Macaca fascicularis: one gene and its partner. The protein of the gene in region 1 interacts with the protein of each later gene in a biochemical or structural test. Links are inferred from orthologs where the notes say so. Each region holds a gene or a part of one and is shown on either strand. Other genes may lie near its edges.

Region 1 (3,958 bases):
CCTCCCTAGAGGCCTCAAAGCATGACTTGTCCCCAAGGCCATGGGCTGCAAGGAGAGGGGCAGACGAGGGAGAAATGAGGCGGAACCCTTTGCTGGGAAGGAGAAGGGGATGTGTTTGGGGTGGGGCAGAAGAGTCAAAGAGGAGAAACCCCAGGGTCGTACATGAAGCAGTGTGTGGCGCTGACCACCCAGCAAGGGCTGATGAGGCTGCCTCCACACACGTAGGTGACAGAGCCGCCCCGGTGCCTCCTGTAGATGGCTGCAAACCAGGGCTGGTTCTCGATGGTGGTGAATTCTCCCCCAACAATCTTAAAGCGGGGCCTCAGAGTCCTTTGGCCACACTGAAACTGTAATTCTTCTGGAGGAGAGGAGGGCTTTTTTCCTGGAGGACAAACAGAGGGATGTCTTGGGGAGGCGGTTAGGAGAAAGCATCCCTCTCGGGCACCCCTCACCTCCTCAGCCCTCCTGTGATGGAATAAGGGGACATGTGAGTTTGTCCCCTTCCACCCCACTGTCATCAGCAGGTCAGTGATGCTCACCATCTGCACAGTTTTGCACCATGCACTCTTGGACAAGCTGCTTTAGGCCGACCTGCACATAGCACCAGGGTCGCCTCCGGTTGTCTGGGTTCCTGACAACACAGAAAGATAGGGGATGTCATTCCAACCCAGAGGGCCTTCCCTGCCTCCTCCCCTCAGGGAAGACTCAACCAGAGACTGCGCTTCTCTCATGCTATGGCCGGCCCTCCGGGAGAAGGGGATGGTAACAAGGTTTCTGGGAAGCTGTGGGGAGGACTCTTGGTCCTTGTTGTCCCCACCTCACCTGCAGTAATTGTGCTTCCCCAGGCCCAGCTGAAGAGCATCAGATCTGTGGGCATGGTATGTTTGCTGAAGGACGGTGGCAGAGTTCCAGGCCAGGCAGGACCGGCCCATGGTGTCAGTGCTGGCCTTTCCTCGGTAAAAGTGACCATTCCCCTCATAGCAGGTTTTTGACTTATCTACGAGGGGACAGGAGGATGAGAGAATGTGAGAAAGAGAAGGACGTTCCAACGAGCTTTTTTGTTTTTGAGACGAAGTCTTGCTCTGTCGCCCAGCTGGAGTGCAGTGGTGTGATCTCAGCTCACTGCAACCTCTGCCTCCCAGGTTCAAGCGATTCTCCTGCCTCAGCCTCCCAAGCAGCTGGGACTACAGACATCCACCACCATGCCGGGCTGATTTTTGTATTTTTAGTAGAGGCAGGGTTACACCATGTTGGCCAGGCTAGTCTTGAACTCGTGACCTCAAATGATCCACTCACCTTGGCCTCCCAAAATGCTGGGATTACAAGTGTGAGCCACCACGCCCAGCTGCCAACGGATATTTTAAAGATGATGTGGTTTCAGACCTGCCAGAAGACTGGACAGGGTCTCCTTCCAACCGCACCTCACATTTGTGTGGCCATTGCTTCACAGGAGTGTGTTTATGCTTGTCACATAGGGATGAAGATGTCACCCACCCCACCTCTAGCTCCTAACTCCTGCCTGCTCTTGCCTCCCACCCATCCCTCCCTGTCCCCAAATTTTTGGTGCCCCCTAACTCCCAGTTGCAGTGGAGATCCCCATACCTATCTCACAGTGCTGCCCTCCGAACTTCTTTGGGCAGTTGCACCAGTGAATGCTGGAGAAGTACTTGTTGGACATACATGTTCCTCCATTTAGACAGCCACAGTCTGCTGGAGAGAACAAAGGTGGGGTAAGCGAGGGGGAGTGGAAGCCATAAGGGCTGGGGCAGCCCTGCAGCAGGGGTAGGGAGGGGATGTCCCCAGAAGCTTTCCCAAGATGTCTGTACAGTCAATTGTTGTAGGGGTGGATACTCACATGGAACCTGAAGTTCACGGCTGCCCTGGAAGAGATTCGGGAGGAGGCTTCATCAAAGGTCCCATGCTCCAGGGACTCCAGGGTGAGGGTAAACTGGACCCAGTCCCAAAACCCACTCTTCCTTCCCTCTCGCCTCACCCTGTTCGTATCTATTCTCACATGGAAGACCATGGGTTTCCAGCAAGGAGAAATAGATTGACCCAAGCAAGCTTCATCTACCAGATGCCCGCAGGCTGGGGCAGTCCCGGCGGCTTCTTCCTCCCTTGCCGGTCAGTGCCAACCCCCGTGGTTCTCAAGCCTCCGCTGCCACCCTGTCCCATTTCCTGGGGAGAGCCTGGCCCTGCTATGGATGGAAGCCGGAGGGGCCCTGCTATGGATGGAAGCCGGAGGACCCCCGCTCCCTGAGCAGCCCCCTCCTCTCCCCTGGTGCTGATCAGAGGTCCTCGGGCGGCATCGGTCAAAGCAAGGGAGCACTCACTTTGGAGTCGCTCACGACCAGGACGCAGAGAAGCAGGTGTGCCAGCAGGGCTCTCATGGTGGTGAGGTCGGGGCGCTAGACGGCGGTTCTGCAAAGGAAAGAGAAGTCAGGGCAAGAGGCGAAGGAGCGGGAAGGCGGGCCAGGCTGGCGACTGCAGTGCAAGGGAGGTGCCCGCGGTGACCAGGCTCCCCAGCCCCGGCTGTCTCTCTCCTCTCTGGGCTCCGGACTCCCGGGCAGCCTGGACCGGCACCCGCGGGGGACGCCCGGGAGCGGCCGCGGTGACTCCGTGTAGCCGCCAGGGAGCCGGGGCAGCCCGGAGCTGGAGAGGCAGATGCTCGGGAACTGGGGCCACCACGCATCCGGCCCGGGGATCTCGATACCGCGACACTCACCGCTGGCTGCGGCAGGAAGGCGCGAGCCGGCGCTGCGGGGACAGGTGGACCCTGAGCTGGGGTCCGGGGCTGCAGTCTCCGCGGTGTCCTGCGACCCGCGGCGCCTGCTCTATATCAGGGCCCGCCCCGGCGCCGCCCCGCCCTCTCCCGCCCAGCTCCCTCCCCTGCCCTGCAGCGCTCAGCGACCCGGACCCCGCGTGCTTCCGCAACGCTCACAAAGATTTGGGGGCAGCGCGATCTCCAGCGGAGGGGACCCAACAGCGTCTGTACTGAGGAATTGAGAGGCTTGTAAATTCTCCGTGCTTCCTCCCATGAACCTGGCCCGGGGCCCGCCCCAGTGCACGGAGTCCCCGAATTGCAGAGAGGAGAGAAGGCGCACGGGAGACTCTCTACCTCGCCCAGCTCTGAAGCCTCCTGGGGTCCCCTAATCAGTTCTTCTCCAACCTCTCCCTGCTGGGCCCCAACTTGCCTAAGAGGGCCTCAGACCCCCTTGCCCGCAGCTGATGGAGCTGTGAAGTCTTCATCAACGCGACAAATGTAGGAGGCACACTCTCCCAGAAACACAGACACAAAAACCCCTGCCTGCCGGGGCTCCCTCTGCGCCTCTCTGTTCAGTGGCAGTCCCTAGATTAGATATCACCAACACAACCAGTGGATGGAACAAAGCCGGACTTACTGCTTTCGGCAGTAAGGGAGTTTGATGGTGCTATCAGAGAGGAGGAAAGGCAAGACCAGATTACTGAAAATTTGCAGTTTGATTTAAAGTCCGTTTTTGACAGGGCTTGATAAGGATTGGATTAGGTGTCCTGATATGATGTTACAGGATTGTGGGAACAAAGTCCTACGGCATAAACTGTTGGTGCTTCCTATTGAAGTGTTAATGGGTCTTTTGGGAAGTTTTCATAATGAACAGTTCATTTATTTGTGCGGGCAAGAATAAAAGTAAAGACAATGGAAACATGTAGACAGTTAACTGTGGAGATTCTGGAGGGTGTGGAAGTTCTGTTCTCACCTCTGAGTAGAGGAATTGGAAGACTGGAGGACAAAATAAGAGGAAGATTTATTTTTCACTGTATGTCCTTTTACACTCTTTACATTTTAAAAAACACATCCCTGTATAGCCCATTCCAAAGATAATTACACATTTTTAAATGCATGTGTATTTAGTGTTTTACTTCATCATAGAGCCTTGTTTATTCTATTTGGATAGAAACAATTGTTTATCAAATAAAA
Region 2 (3,517 bases), on another chromosome or scaffold:
TGGGTGAGCTTCTCTGTTTGCACTTTCTTCCCAATATTTTAATTTAAGTTTTAGAGAGAAGTTCGTATGGATCCTGGAAACGAATGCTTTTTCCCATTGGGAAGTCTTCAATGACCCTTCTCTTACCTTCCTATGGAAACTTCTGAACAAAATGCTACAAGTGATTGCTTCCAACTTCTTTTTATTATATTTTATTTTATTTTATTTATTTATTTGAGATGGAGTCTCGTTCTGTAACCTAGGCTGGAATTCAGTGGCACAATTTTGGCTCTCTACAGCCCCCACCTCCCAGGTTCAAGCGATTCTCCTGCCTCAGCCTCCCAAGTAGCTGGAATTACAGGCGCCCATCACCACGCCTGGCTAATTTCTGTAATTTTTAAGTAGAGACGGGGTTTCACTATGTTGGCCAGGCTGGTCTTGAACTCCTGACTTCAGGTGAGCTGCCCATCTCGGCCTCCTAAAGTGTTGGGATTACAGGCATGAGCCACCACGCCTGGCCTGTTTCCAACTTCTTCATTGCTATCAAAGGAAGACCCCATCCAATACCGTCCTTAGCTTATTTCCCAGTTGTCCTCAGCAATCTGGTGTAATGGGGACCGCCCTGCACCAGGGGATAGGAAATCTCAGAGTCCAAGTTCGACACTCACTGCTGCGGTCTCAATGTGTGTGTCCCCACATTGTTCATATGTTGAAACCTAACCCTGAGGTGGTGGTATTAGGACGGGGGGCCTTTGGGAGTTGATTAGTTCGTAGGGGTAGAGCTGTCATGAACAGGATCGGTGTCCTTACAAAAGAGACCACAGAGAGCTGCCTTGCTCCTTCGAGCAAGGACATACTGAGAAGACACCGTCATGAACCAAGGAACGGGCACTGCATCTGCCAGTGCCTTGATCCTGGACTTCTCAGCCTCCAGAACTATGAGAAATAAATGTTTGTTGTTGCTAAGCCACCCAGTTTACGGTATTTTGTTATAGCCACCCAAATGGCCAAAGATACGATCTGTGACCACAGGAAGGGGAGGTGTTAACAATTTGCCTTCCTTCCCAACCCTTCCCACTCTCTCCTCTCCTCTCTTCTCCTCTCTATCCACTCTTGCTTTCCTCAGGGTCAGCACCTGGCAGGAGCTGCAGACGCGAACAGAAATGCTTACAAGGAGTGTCGGGGAGATAAGCAGAGGTCAGCTCTTACTGAGGAGTCCAGGGGAGGCATTTCAGAGGAAGAAGCATTTGTCTGAGGGAGTCTTGGCCTCTATGAGGGCAGAGGGGCCAGGATCTGGGGCATATGGGGGACTGGGAAATGCCCTCTAAGCCCTTCTGGGGTCCGTGTCCTGCCCTGAGTGGCTGAGATGTTGGTGTCTTTGTTATGGTGGCCACAATGGGTTCATGCTTCAGAGCCTGTATGAAAACTGGGGCTTCAGATGATCCCAGGGGTCCAAAGACAGCAGTCAGTTCTTCCTCCATGGAGGAAACAGCATCTTAGGCTCACTAACCCCATCCACAGAGAGAAGGCACTCATCTTGCCTTCTCTGGCTACTTGTTTACTTAATTTTTCTCAGCAGGCACCCAAAATAACTTAATCTACTCCCCGTCCTTTATGTATGTGAGGGAATTGGGAATTCTTTAGAAAAAAGCAGCAGAAAAGCCAGAGAAAGCACAGGTTTGGGCCCAAGGTCCTTACCTTTAAAGAAGATGTAATTCACCATGACCATGACTGCGTTGCTGTCGAGGTTCTTAAGCAAGTCCACAATCTTGCCCTTCGTTTGCTTTGCCACATAATCATTGATCTGCTTCAGGGCTCCCGCAGAGTCCCCAAAGTTGGTGGGGAAAGAGTCTGCCAGGTACAGCGTCTTCATGGCACTCATGAAGGTGTCCTGCACGTCCACCACCAGGTCGGTGAAAAGGGCATTGCCGAGGCTCAGCTGGAAGCCATCTCGGGGCTGGTTGAGCTCCTGCAGGAGCTGCTGAAAGCCTCTGTGCAGCTGCTCCTCTGAGCTTTTCTGGAGGTCGAGGCCCAGGCCCTCCAGGATCTGCCTCTTTGTGCTGGACCCAGCCCCCAGGGAGAGCATGGCCAGGCTCACGGAGATGCTCACAGGGGAGAAGAAGACGTTCTGGCTGGGGGCAGCAGAAGCCAAGGCCCTGTAGAGGTCGAACGTAAAGTCCCTTCTGCTGCTGGGGGCCACCGTGGCACCTACATGGAGGTCCTTGACTCTCTTCTTCGTCTCCCGGGGGTGGTGGCGGTGAAGGGAGGCCTCCTGAGGGCTGAGAAGCACCAGGCACAAGAGGAGGAAGAGCTGCATGGCGGCTGTTCTTTGTTCTGAAAGGGAAAGAAGGTGTCCTCAGAGAGGGGTGGGGCTGGTCCAGGCACTGACTTTCCAGAGATGTCCCCACCCAACACTCAATGGGTGGGTTTGGTCCATTCAGCTTCAAAGAGAAGGGATGGCACCCCCGAGACTGAGGATGAGGGTTTACACAGGGCGGCAGTGGCTCGAGGACAAAGATTTAGGGACAATGGGGAGAGGAAGGAGGAAGAGGAGGTGCAGACCGAAGGCAGAGGCCCGGCTGCCAAGGCAGGAACCCTCCCCGCCCGTCCACATCAAGGGACACATTTTGGAGGATGGGACATGGAGGGAGAGGATTCCCCCTGCTCTGCTTTGTCTCATCAGCATCTCGAGGTTACCAGGGAACTAAGCTGCTTCCATGTGAGCTTCTGGCCTTCACTCTGGTGTCCTGGTTTGGCACATGGCAGGGCCCTGTGGTCCTTCTATGAACTCAGACCAGTTACGCGCCTGGGGCCATCAGCACTGCTGGCCTTGCCCTGTTCATTCAGCACACATGGAGTGAGCATCCTCCCCGGGGTAGGCAGGATACCAGGATGCCAACTGTCCCTTTCTCCTTCCCCCAGGGGCTGCTCCATGCCACCCTTGTCTCACAGAGGGACACCTTCTCCTCCTAAGGGAATTCTGCCTGCCCTCTTCATGTGAGCATCTCCACCGTCCTCCTGTTCTGGGCTGAATTGTGCCCCCCAAAACGCATATGCTGAAGTCCTAACCTTCAATACCCCAGAATGTGACTATATTTAGAGATAGGGCTTTTAAAGAGGGGACTGAGTTAGGATGAGGTCACTAGAGTGGGCCCTAACCCAGTATGACTATGTCCTTACACAAAAATTAAAAAGAGATCAGGAGAGAGACACGCACAGAGGGAAGACCAGGTGAAGACAGTGAGAAGGCAGCCACCTGTGAGCCAAGAAGAAGGGCCATGGGAGGAACAAATCCTGCCGGTGCCTAAGCCTCAGACTTCCAGCTTCCGGAGTTGTAAAGAAAGAAATTTCTGTTGTTGAAGCCCCCTAGCCTGTGAGACTTTGTGACGGCAGCCCATGCAGGCAAAGACATCTCTTCATCTTCTAGACGAGGAGGCATTCATCTCTGACTCGAGAGCTTCTCAGGGGGACCTTTGTGGGGTCTCCCATCACTCCTGACGTGGCCTTTGCCTTCAGTCTCCTCTTCCTCCCTCCACTT

The links.
Region 2: the proteins of PLAU (region 1) and SERPINA5 form a complex in vitro, tested with the Homo sapiens proteins (2 studies listed by BioGRID). The link is inferred for Macaca fascicularis from reciprocal best matches to the Homo sapiens genes PLAU and SERPINA5.

The regions. Positions count from the first base shown.
Region 1 is NC_088383.1:72,532,535-72,536,492, forward strand, and holds the start of PLAU (urokinase-type plasminogen activator), read right to left. Parts: upstream 2,815-3,958; 5' UTR 2,726-2,814; intron 2,422-2,725; 5' UTR 2,391-2,421; coding exon 2,334-2,390; intron 1,881-2,333; coding exon 1,856-1,880; intron 1,711-1,855; coding exon 1,603-1,710; intron 998-1,602; coding exon 823-997; intron 632-822; coding exon 540-631; intron 383-539; coding exon 163-382; intron 1-162. UniProt on the Homo sapiens protein: Specifically cleaves the zymogen plasminogen to form the active enzyme plasmin.
Region 2 is NC_088381.1:162,611,386-162,614,902, reverse strand, and holds part of SERPINA5 (plasma serine protease inhibitor), read right to left. Parts: exon of another isoform or gene 3,236-3,517; intron 2,314-3,235; 5' UTR 2,297-2,313; coding exon 1,678-2,296; intron 1-1,677. UniProt on the Homo sapiens protein: Heparin-dependent serine protease inhibitor acting in body fluids and secretions. Inactivates serine proteases by binding irreversibly to their serine activation site. Involved in the regulation of intravascular and extravascular proteolytic activities.